Lytechinus pictus: one gene and its partners. The protein of the gene in region 1 purifies or fractionates together with the protein of each later gene. This does not show direct contact. Links are inferred from orthologs where the notes say so. Each region holds a gene or a part of one and is shown in the gene's direction. Other genes may lie near its edges. The genes, in order: regulator of nonsense transcripts 1-like, exosome complex component RRP4-like and THO complex subunit 4-like.

What was found.
Region 2: the proteins of regulator of nonsense transcripts 1-like (region 1) and exosome complex component RRP4-like purify together in Homo sapiens (affinity purification with western blotting; 3 studies listed by BioGRID and IntAct, with this or other methods). This does not show direct contact. The link is inferred for Lytechinus pictus from reciprocal best matches to the Homo sapiens genes UPF1 and EXOSC2.
Region 3: the proteins of regulator of nonsense transcripts 1-like (region 1) and THO complex subunit 4-like purify together in Homo sapiens (co-immunoprecipitation; 3 studies listed by BioGRID and IntAct, with this or other methods). This does not show direct contact. The link is inferred for Lytechinus pictus from reciprocal best matches to the Homo sapiens genes UPF1 and ALYREF.

Annotation. Positions count from the first base shown.
Region 1 is NC_087249.1:22,497,811-22,501,568, reverse strand, and holds the start of regulator of nonsense transcripts 1-like, read left to right. Parts: upstream 1-786; 5' UTR 787-1,032; coding exon 1,033-1,230; intron 1,231-2,728; coding exon 2,729-2,862; intron 2,863-3,231; coding exon 3,232-3,321; intron 3,322-3,758. UniProt on the Homo sapiens protein: RNA-dependent helicase required for nonsense-mediated decay (NMD) of aberrant mRNAs containing premature stop codons and modulates the expression level of normal mRNAs.
Region 2 is NC_087259.1:10,557,650-10,561,407, reverse strand, and holds the start of exosome complex component RRP4-like, read left to right. Parts: upstream 1-1,280; 5' UTR 1,281-1,420; coding exon 1,421-1,533; intron 1,534-3,758. UniProt on the Homo sapiens protein: Non-catalytic component of the RNA exosome complex which has 3'->5' exoribonuclease activity and participates in a multitude of cellular RNA processing and degradation events.
Region 3 is NC_087254.1:29,241,928-29,245,685, reverse strand, and holds the start of THO complex subunit 4-like, read left to right. Parts: upstream 1-947; 5' UTR 948-989; coding exon 990-1,130; intron 1,131-1,694; coding exon 1,695-1,842; intron 1,843-2,990; coding exon 2,991-3,060; intron 3,061-3,758. UniProt on the Homo sapiens protein: Functions as an mRNA export adapter; component of the transcription/export (TREX) complex which is thought to couple mRNA transcription, processing and nuclear export, and specifically associates with spliced mRNA and not with unspliced pre-mRNA.

The DNA of each region.
Region 1 (3,758 bases):
CATCGTTATGAATTATACATAAATATGCATATATGATATATATATATATATAATTGTGAAGAGCAGGGACCTATACATTGCGAGGTGCTTTCTAGTATATATTTGAGAGGATGCTATAATTATGTAGATACAGCGAGAATAAAGCAATCAAACGTAGCCGGGGTTCAGTTCATCAAGTTTATTCACAAGCTTTCAGTCATTTTTGGGGCCTTCTTCTATGTATACACAGAAGAAGGTTACTGCAACTTAAGTATAGGCTAAGTTATGTCGTAATTTAAGTCGTTGAAGTCAATAAGAATTGGCAGCCGCCTTATGAAAATCTATAAAAAGACGTCTTAAAGAATATCATTATATATGTGTAGGCAGATTCTATATGAACGGTTATGGACTCGTATTATACAAAAAATAGGTTTATTTTTAAGGATATTGGTTTTAAATATGTACATAATAATAAGTGTATGTGATCGCGAGAATTCACGTGTCATGTGCTTACTCATGTGAATTTTATGTACATATTTAAAACCAATATCCTTAAAAATAAACCTATTTTTTGTATAACACGAGTCCATAACCGTTCATATAGAATCTGCCTACACCTTATATGATGATATATTACAGTATATATATATTATTTAAGACGTCTGTTTATTTCATCAAAGGAATGCACTATTTTCAATAATGGACTTGATTGAGGCTAAAAATGCCAAGTTGCGTTGCTCGCGCGCAAATCATCACGCATTTTCAAGTACACGTTTGGTTTCTATAATTTTCTGTGTATAAATGCATGCAAATCAAATACTGTACCTGTCCAGTGCGCGCGCGCGTTTGGTATATGGAATTGCATTGCGACAGACACCGTGGAGATCCTTTTGCCTACCTGGATTTTGATGCTGGTACCGGACTGTGAAATCTAAAATATTACGGCTGAATAGTCATTTTACATTAATTAATTTAAAGAGGCAGTCTCATTCGTACCATATGTGTTCATTGTACTTTGATTGAATTGTTGATACAAAGGAGAACGGAGAGAAAATGAGCGTAGATGCCTACGGACCCAGCTCGCAGAGCTTGCTCACGTTTTTGGATGCGGAAGAACATGACCTGCTGGGAGCCGACACACAAGGCACAGACTTTGACTACAATGTGGGGGATTTTACATTGCCTTCACAGACACAAGCTTCTCAAAGCCAAGCATCCCAGTTGGATTTGGCTTCACAATCTCAGAGTCAGGTAATATCACTAACCTTCAACAAAGTTGTCATTGTCATTCATGGCATGATGGGCTATGGCATCACCTCGGCCTCGAGTCGACCGTCGTTGGGACGTTGATCGCTGCCTTAATGACTCCGTCAACAATGACAACATGGTCAACGTCATCAAGAGAGATCTAGAATTGGAAATCTACTATCTAGAGGCCTAACTTAGAGTAGTCTAGTACTCTAGACTAGATCTAACGTTAGAGTCTAGTACTACTAGGACCTAATATTTAGTAGTAATAAATTAACTAAATAAAGCTAAAGTCGAGAATTTCCAAACGACTTTAAATTCAAATAAACTTTGTTTAATCATGTTCTCTGGTTAGTATAGTCTACTATTACTAATACTAATACTTACTAACCTCGCATTACGTGTGAGTGCTCTGGTTCTGTTGCAGCTAAGTACTGTGCATGAATGACAGTTTAGTAATTTTGCCATCCAATGTAGCGAGGAGGCTCCTGGAGATCACTCACACGTATTGCGAGGTTAGTATTATTATTAGTATACTAACCTCGCACCACGAACCGCATTTGGCAGTGGATTTCTAACTAGTGGGTCACGCGTGCTGGGATCTCACTTCTTGGGTCCACAACACACGACTTCTATGGCTTGATTTTTCTGTGCGCGGCGGCGTGTAATGAACCCTTGGGTGCCTGGAGATGAATGTCATATCACTGACGTGCTGAATCTCCATGGAGCCAGGGAGGGGATGTCATTGCTCTACACGCACCGATGAATTGGGCAACAATAATGTTGCTCCATAATACTAATTTTCTAGGGTTTTGAGCCCAAACTTCTGTAAATGGGCTACAGTATAATATTGGTTTGCAACTTTTGAACAAAAATCATTGTTTTTTTAGTACAATTATGCTTAAAATAGAATCTACATGAAAATATTAAAAGTGGAGCAGCGTTTACTCACAGTCTGTTAGTATATCGCCATCTTGCCGTCTTTGTTATCGTTGCCTAGCTACAAAGACGGGTATAGATGGCGACAATATCATGAGATAAAAAATACTTGCATCGGCCGATAAATATCATGAATCGTAATTCATGATATTTATCAGCCGATGCAAGTAAGGGTCCACTGATTGCATGAGTTTCAGTCTACTAACATGTAATCATGATCAAAGGTCATTAAGAAGTAGAGCAATGAACTTTAATCATGTTTATTAACCAATAACGTTAATTTTGTTAAAGTTGTTAATGAAACAAAGTTTCTGAAATGTCTTCATATTTCATAACTTTGAAAAGTATGATTGTATAAGGACCTATTTCATGGAACATGTACGGTTCGCACTTCGCAGGTCACTTGATAAAGGTCAAAGTTCACATAGGGTAAATGAACCTTGACCATGTTCTGCTACCAATATCATTGACATTTTATAGGCTTCTACATATGTACTGGTACACAACAAAGTTTTGCATGCATCGTTTGATCAACTTTTTATATTTTTTTGTTGCAATGTAGGTGGATGCTAGTCAAACCAATGGGATAGATGAGTCTGTGGCTGCTGTAGGACAACAGGTCAAAGAATTGACCTTTGAGGAAGATGAAGAAGATGCGACTGTGCTCTCCAAAGATTTGCCCAACCATGCCTGCAAGTAAGTATTGAAACAAAGTCCTCATTACACATCATTGAACCAATTCCACTATGAGTACTATAACTTCACAATGTCTGCAAAATGTTATCACTTAGTCTGCTTTGAGTATTTACACTATTGGACATACATGTTTTTGATTGAATCACTTGTGTCAAGATTCCATTCAAAATTAAAATGGTTTTATCTGAAGAAGAAAATTCAGAGGCTTCAGCGATTATCTTACAATTTTGATAATTCCCTCAGTCAATTCTGAAGGAAGTATAAGTTCTGAAAATATAAACCACCCTTAAGGCCAAGGGTTTGTAGTTGCACTTTCATTAGGAACTTGGGCATGGATGAATTATCACTGGTTTTGCTTTATTTCATCAGGTACTGTGGCATTCATGACCCTGCTGCTGTTGTTCTCTGCAATGGAACCAAGAAATGGTTTTGCAATGGACGAGGAAACACCTCTGGCAGGTAAGTTCTACAAATCTTTATACTTTATAGCCTGTAGTTTAATTCCCCCCAGATTATTTTAATTTGTATTTCACAAAGGAAATTACCATGTAGGGATTCAGTTTTCTTGCAATTTACATTCTTTCTTCCCAGTATGAATAATTTCCTTTATGTGTTCACATGTACCTTACCTTAACCCCTAAGCTCAAGTTCTACATCTTGTATCTGGTGCAATTCAAGTCAACTTTATATCAGATAATCTGATTTGTCTTTTTTTTATGCTGCCCACTTTTATTTTTTTGGGGGGGTGTTCATAATTTATGTTTACTGTTTCATATTCTTGGATGCTAAATAACATTCTCAGTCATTTTAAATTCCTATCAGCTAATGTTAAAATGTGAATTTGTAGATCAGAATTTGCAATGCTTATGATTTGAACAAATTGTTTAGGGTTAAAA
Region 2 (3,758 bases), on another chromosome or scaffold:
CCCTTTGAAACAAGAAAACTATTCTAATTTTTGTTTATATGTATATGTTTATATACAAAACTTGTAAGGATAATCCTACGTGCCTTAAGCTATGTGAGTGGCAGTGGCGTAACAGGCGGGGGCAGGGGGCGTATACAGGCCCGGGGACGGAGGGGGGGGGGGGTCTTGGGTCCACACCCAATAGGAAATAAAAGAAATGATATGATACAACGTATTATGAAATGAATGGAAGCAATGAAATGTGTTATTTGCTGAATATAATGGAAAAATCGCAGCTTCTTATAAATTAACGTGATATATCTAGCCCCCTCAAAAATGTTGCCCCATTAGGCTGTAGATGAATCATTTTTATTTGTTTTAAGAGAAAAGAAAAGGTGCCTTTTTCCCCTGTGCCCCCTATAACTTTGCTCCACCACCCCTAGTGCATAAGCAAAGAGATAATTCATTTTTGTTTTCATTCAAGAAGTTAATTCATTCGGTCTTTCATATTTTCGAATAAGTCAATTGAATCAAACTAATAAACAAATAGATTATGAAAGCAAAACAAATAAAAAAAACTTAAAAATGAAGTCAAGCAGTATAGGTGCGACGCCCCTCAAATTTCTCAATTGATGAATAATGGACGTATAGCTAAATAAAACATTAAAGGGGAGAGGGGCCTGGGCTGGGACCGATTTTCTATAAGAGGGGTTCTGCTTCTATATTAAGAAAAAATTGACAAGCAAAAAACAAAACAAGAAACAAAATGACTGTAAAAAAACGCTGTTTAAAATTGAAAGCACTTTGTTTAAGCCCGTCACTCTAACAACCACTGTTTAAACTTTCTAAACAAGTTTTGTTAAAAAGTTTCAACAATTAACTTGTTTTTAGAGTGACTGACAGGCTTAAAGAATTAACGTGGTTTTTTTTGTAAGAATGAAGGTGAATTTGGTCAAACCTATTGTGATTATCGCTTATTATGTGTCAATTTGGTAATAGAAGCCTAATGATATACATTATACCATACCAACTAAATTTACAGAAGTGCTGCAATAATAGTGTAGCACGACTCATATATACTGTTCTCCCCTGTTCTTTGGCCCAAAGAGACTTTGGCAAGCATTAATCAATCAAAATAGGGGGGAAATCCATTTGAAATCTTCACAGCGAGATAAAATTTACTTAAAACCTAACTGAAATTTATGGAATCGCATTGACATTTCTGTTGATTTATTTCACTTATTTTACTTGAGCATGATTGACAATAAATTTGAATAGTTTTGACTTGACATCCACACTTCAGACGAAATGACTCCTATTCGCGATTGAAAGATACCAATTTGCTGCTGTCATATTAAAATTGTCTGCATGTTCAGTTGACTAGCTCAGTTAGTTAGGCCAGTACGTTTGACCTATTTGTGCACGAAAGTTGGGAAGGAAAATGGCAATATCCATCACCGCTCCTCGTGAAAGACGAGTTTGTGATGAATTTACAGAACCTCAACGATTAGTAACACCAGGAGCAACCATTACAGCCGACACAGATTTTATGAGGTGATGAATTAATGGACCAGTAGTAGCGACGGGAACGGCCATGACGGCATTCCCGTGCCCGTGGGTGGCCGCCGCGCTGGGCCATGTGGGGGCATGGCAAAAGTCGAAGTTCCACCGCCGGCGCAGCGGCGGAGTTCAACTTCAAGAGTAGACTAGAGCCTGAATGTGGCGAATACGCGTCGTGGACTTGTCTTGCCTTGGGGAACGGGTGTTTTTGTTTTGTTTTGTTTTTATTCTCTTTTTTTAGCCAAATATTTAAAGCAAGGCAGAAGTTTGGACGTAAGACTTTGTTTCTGAACTCGCATGACCATGTTCAATCTTCAAAATGCTACCCAACATGCCCAATTTTGATAATGATTGTAAATTAGTATTTTTCATTTTTTGTCAAAACAAATTGTGATCCATTATGATTCACCATTGTCATTGATTGGAAGAAAAAAAAATAGCCAAGCCTGTTCAAAGACATAGCAACATAATCAGTGTAATTATGTGTAACTGCACATACCCGGCCCTGAATTTGTCCAACAACAGTTCATTTGAATAAAAAGAATAAACTAGGGACTAGCTTCTAACATAATCTAAGACTAAGTTCAGAAAATAATATGGTTAGGTAGGACAACGAAAAAAACAAAATGGCATTTCTACTAAAAAAGCATTACCTATTAGCATCATTGTCAAAGACATTGCTCAAAACTTACCATAAAATTTCCTACATAGTGAAAAATAAGGCTTAATAGTTAAATGCCCTATAAAATGTGTCTGGAAATGCATTTTGGCCCATCCCCATATTAGTTTAGCCTAGGCTATAAGCTGTGTGGGCTAGTGGCTGAAAATTGGCATTTTTAAGTCTTTATGCTGACCTAGACTGTTTGAGCCTCTGTGAGCTGCCATGGAAACATGTCACATTGATAGATAAACCACTTGGCTACCAGAAAATGTGAAGATGTTGCTACCAACGTTCTCGCCAGTGTAGAACACACGCGTCGCATGCGACACACGTAAATTCCACAAGCTCTATATGCGTCACGTGCAAAACGCGAGCGACACAGGCAAAAAAATAAATTAAAAAAAATTTTAAAAAATCATAAAAAGTGGGGAAAAGTCATCGGAAATAATTGTTGCATCATTCATCATCAATCCTCAAAAGTAAAGGATGTTTCAGAATCATTTCGGCAACAGACAAACTACGATGTTATTATTGATGACCGGAAAATATCCATGCGTAGAAACTGGCGCATTTCCACTTCCAGCCGGCCGGCGAGCCAGCCAGCCAAGCCTGAGCAGCCACACTAGCGTTGCCAGCGCGCCTAGCTGAGCCGGACATGCATGCTACAATGTATGTTAGAACTGAATTGTCCGCGGTGCGACCTGGGTCCGACGTAGCCTTTCATTTTTACATGATACCGTTTTCTGATAGTTTTCAAGAAATTTTTATCATAAAATGAATTGTTCCTCATAATTTTCCCGCTAATTACTTTCTAAGTAATATTCTTAACGTTCATTCTCAATTTCTCATGTCATCTGCTGTCATGTCACAAGTTACTCACAATGAGTGTTGGCTAGCTTGCTGGAAATGGGGCTTAGGGCGACACGTGTGTGCATGAATTTGTCAAAGGAGAAAAACAAGATCCCGGGCGCGGGAGCGAGATGTAAAGTTAATGTTATTTGTTTGACGGCTAATTGCTTGTTTTTAACGTTTATTTTTCATTCTTTCATCTAAAACAGACTATAATTTATTGTATTGTTTTTTACATGTGTGTACAGTTTCTTCTATTGATTAATAATCTAGTGGCGGGGGGGGGGGGGGCATGAGACCGCATGATCGACACATCGATTAGAAATATCTAAAAATAGATTTTTTAGGTATTTCTAATCGATATGTCATGCCAATGTGTATTTGGAAAATCTCTTTTTCATGTTGATATTTGACACTGGAAAAAATAAATATGTTGAATTTATTGTAGAATTAGTTTTTATTCTTAATGCATATTATAATCATCATCAATGTTATTTATAATTATGTATTGGAAGAGCTGACATTGTGTTTTATTGTAACACTAAAGGGGAAAAATGGTGTTAAATTTATGAGTTGTCAAGGTATTTATCAATTTGTAAAGACATCAAACTTCTATTTCTTATATGTATTTTATTTTGTATATGAACTGAAGTTGTCAAATAAAAACTACCATACAAAAAAAAACTCCCCCGCCCCTAGATCCTGCATC
Region 3 (3,758 bases), on another chromosome or scaffold:
GGCCAGATCATGTAAATCTCGAGATATGCATCCTGTCGCTTTGGCAAAAAACAAAGAAAACAAGATGGCGATGTAAACATCGTGGCAATTTTTCCCTGTCTTTTCATAATATTTTTCTCATTTTTTATGAATTCTTGTTTAAAAATGAAATCAATATTGTAGAAATGTCGGAAATGAAGTTGTATCCCAATTACATGATTTAGGGCTAGATCTTTCAGAAGCAAAGTAGAAATCTCTGGGGCGAAAATATCAGTTCTTCCCGGTACACGCACATGAATGGGACGCAATCCCTGGCTCTTTGGCGAGTAAGCACACGTTAGTGAATGATTTTTACTATCTAAGAGCCTCCTGGCTAGACTTGGTGGGATGCATAATTATATGCAAGCGCAAGTTCAAATCAAATGTAATGTACTAAGAGTAAGAGATCTACATGAACTGCAAGAAGATTTTTACACCGCATGATCTGCAGCAAATCGATCTACATGTAGTATAAAATGTGTCAAGTTTTACATAAATACAGGAAGACTAGATCTAGTCTTATGTGAGAAAGATTAATAAAATAATGTGAGAGAGATGAAATAATGTAAGAACATGAAGAAAGAGGGAAAGAAGAAGAAGAATATTGAACATCTTCCTTACTCTCACCCAGGGACAGAGTGTGCAGCTGGCATTTGATTTGTTGGTGCCAGAATGAGATTGTGTTGCATGGATTCATAGATTCCACTGCCAGTATTCCAGAATTCCATATTTGGGCTTCATCCAGTGATCATCCAGAGATGGTGTTCATGTTAAAAATCATTGCAGATAATCATGAATCAAAATATGATCAGAACAAAATTAAAATGCTGATCTATATCAATTTTTTGTCAATGAAGTCTAGATCTACATATCGTGTAATTTTTTTTTCTTTTTAAAGAAAATTGTAATAAAATGTGATTTTGATGGGGTCTTCATATTTTTTGCTTGTTTTCCTTATTTAGCCAAAACAGATGCCCGATCAGTGGCAGCATGATATGTACAGTGAAGGTGGAGGTGCAATCAGAAGACAAGGATTATCAACTGCAGCGAACGGACCTGGAAAACTGCTAGTTTCAAATCTGGACTTTGGTGTTTCAAATAATGATATTGAGGTTAGTTACATTTCATCATTATGTCCCTTGTTGTTTAGTGGTAGGGCTCTTGACAAGTATTTTCCTTTCATTTCCATCTGTAACTTAGCAGTTTCTGTACCCTTTCTTAATTTCATAAAGACTTGATTTACTGCACATGTGCTCAGAAGAAAAGATGAATTTAAATGGTTGTCAGTATTAACTGATTGTATTGATTATGACTTGCTACTCTGTCAAGGATCCATTCCTCATTATCACTTTATTTGTTGAGTACCAGTGCCAATATTCAAAATGCTCAAACACACACCCTTTTGACTTAAAGTAATTTACACCATAACAAGCCAGTTATAAGACAAAATGCACACAGTGGAAACATTCATGTACCTATTATTTTACTGTTTCACTGTCAATGCAAATTAAGTACACCATGCTATCATTGCAGTTTTCAAATTCACTTTTGTGTGACATTATAACTGTGCTTCAGAAAATACTAACAGTGCCAGCCTGCAGTCAGAACTTCAAAGTAATAGGTCCCTGTAACATCTATAGATATTCTTCATTATTATAATGGTATTCTCTCTCCAGGAATTGTTTGCAGACTTTGGTAGTCTAAAGAAGGCTGCGGTTCATTATGACAGGACGGGAAGAAGTCTTGGTACAGCAGACGTTATCTTTGAAAGGAGAGCAGACGCTATGAAAGCAATCAAGCAGTACCATCAAGTGCCATTAGATGGTGGGTAATCATAATGCTTCCATTTTTTTCGCTTCAGCTGCTGTATTCCTTGAAGGGTCATGTTTGGGTTTTAGAGAGAGAGGGAGAGGTTTAGTTTGAGATGGCATGATGTTAAAGATCATGTTAGTTTTATTAAGTCTGGCTTCAAAGTTTCCATAAGAACAATATACAAATAGCGAATAGGCATGAGTGCGATGGTGCGAGATTTCGCATGAGGTGAGTGAAAGATGCTCTATTCAACGAGGCGTTAGCCGAGTTGAATAGAGCATTTCTTTCTTTCACCGAATGCGAAATCTCGCACCATTGCACGAATAAGAATATTCGCTATTTGTGTTGTACAACGCCTCGGAGTTTAGCGAATTTATGAAAAAACAAAGAGTTTTTCCTGCAGTAATCTATGAAAAGGGAGCAAAAATATGGAAAGCGAAAAGCAAAATCCCACAAGCGACCACCTCGGGCCTGGGCAGCATTGCGCATTTAGCCAGCAGGCTATTCGCGTATTGCACCTGCATTTTTACTGAGCGCAATGAATTGAATCGTATTGTGACGTCACCTCCTAAAGCCGTGCAACGGTACATTTTGGATGGTACGTCTTTTGTGCAACGGTACGAATGTTTGACATTCAGCCTCCCATTTGCTCGCGTACAACAAGCTAAGTAGGCGTTGTACAATGAAGGCTCACACATGAGACCCATCATATCTTTATGGGCACATGAAAAGGGATATCACAATTCTGTGATGCTGTCATTCAAATTTCATTAGAGTTGAATTCTTCAGGTATAGAATAATTGTTATGCAAGGTTGGTATACTATCATTAATTGCATAAAGTTTGCAAGTGTCTTTGATGACAGCCCACTGAATAATGAATGATCAAAGTGACATGTCAACCATTTTCACAATGTTATTTATGAATCATGACTATGATGCAGCACAGCTTTTTGTCCCATGAATTTCTTTCATGTTCACTTTTAGTGGTGCAGATCTGCAAAAATTAGTTTTAGGGGTCATACTTGATTGAAAATGTCATTGACACATCATTTATTTTTTCTCTCCAAGTCAAATTAATATCAATAGAATTGTCCTTGATTATCAATTGAATATGGTAACAATATTTTGACTTTTCTTATTTGCCCCGTTGCATCAACAGGTCGACCGATGAATATTCAGTTAGTGGGTTCAGCGACTGAGCTAGAGTCAAACCCAATGCAATCAAGACCGTAAGTTTGCATCTTTTCTATTTTGTCCATTCTCCTGTAGTTAGGGTATCTTGTAAAGGCCTGCTTTCTAAAGTTGTATGTTTTGTATTTATGTTTGTGCTAGAATATGATCTAATTATGACATCAAGATTTGAAGAAAAAAAATTAAATATTTCCTTTTAATTTTTAAAGTTTTTTTTTTTAGACTGGTGGAACAAAGAGATAATAGTAATACTACAAAATATGTATTAAAGCTATGTAAAAGCAACATTTAGATAATTTAAAGTGTTCATTCAGTCCCACCAATTGTCTTTTGGATCAAAACACAATTTGTCAAGTTGGGCATATGTAAAGGCTCAACAAAGGATGCTCGTAAACTATTCTTGTTCTAGTCGCTCTAATTGAGTCATCGAAATTTAGATTTTATAGGCCCTTGCAAACATATTTTGCCCTCATTGTATGTTATGAGGAAGACTGAGAAAGATGTGTTATTTCACACAGGTTGTGTACATTGTAAGCGGTTTTATATTCTTGCCTAACAAATCCCAACAGAGTAAACATAGGAATAGCAAGTTCAGGATAATGAATAAGTTGTAACCATTTGGCACATTTATGCATAATGTATTTTACTCAGATTAAAGAATAGCAGTTTGTCCACCCTCTGATTGTTTGCAAAATTGTTGCCTGTAAGCAAAAATGTTATTGTTTGTTTTATAGTT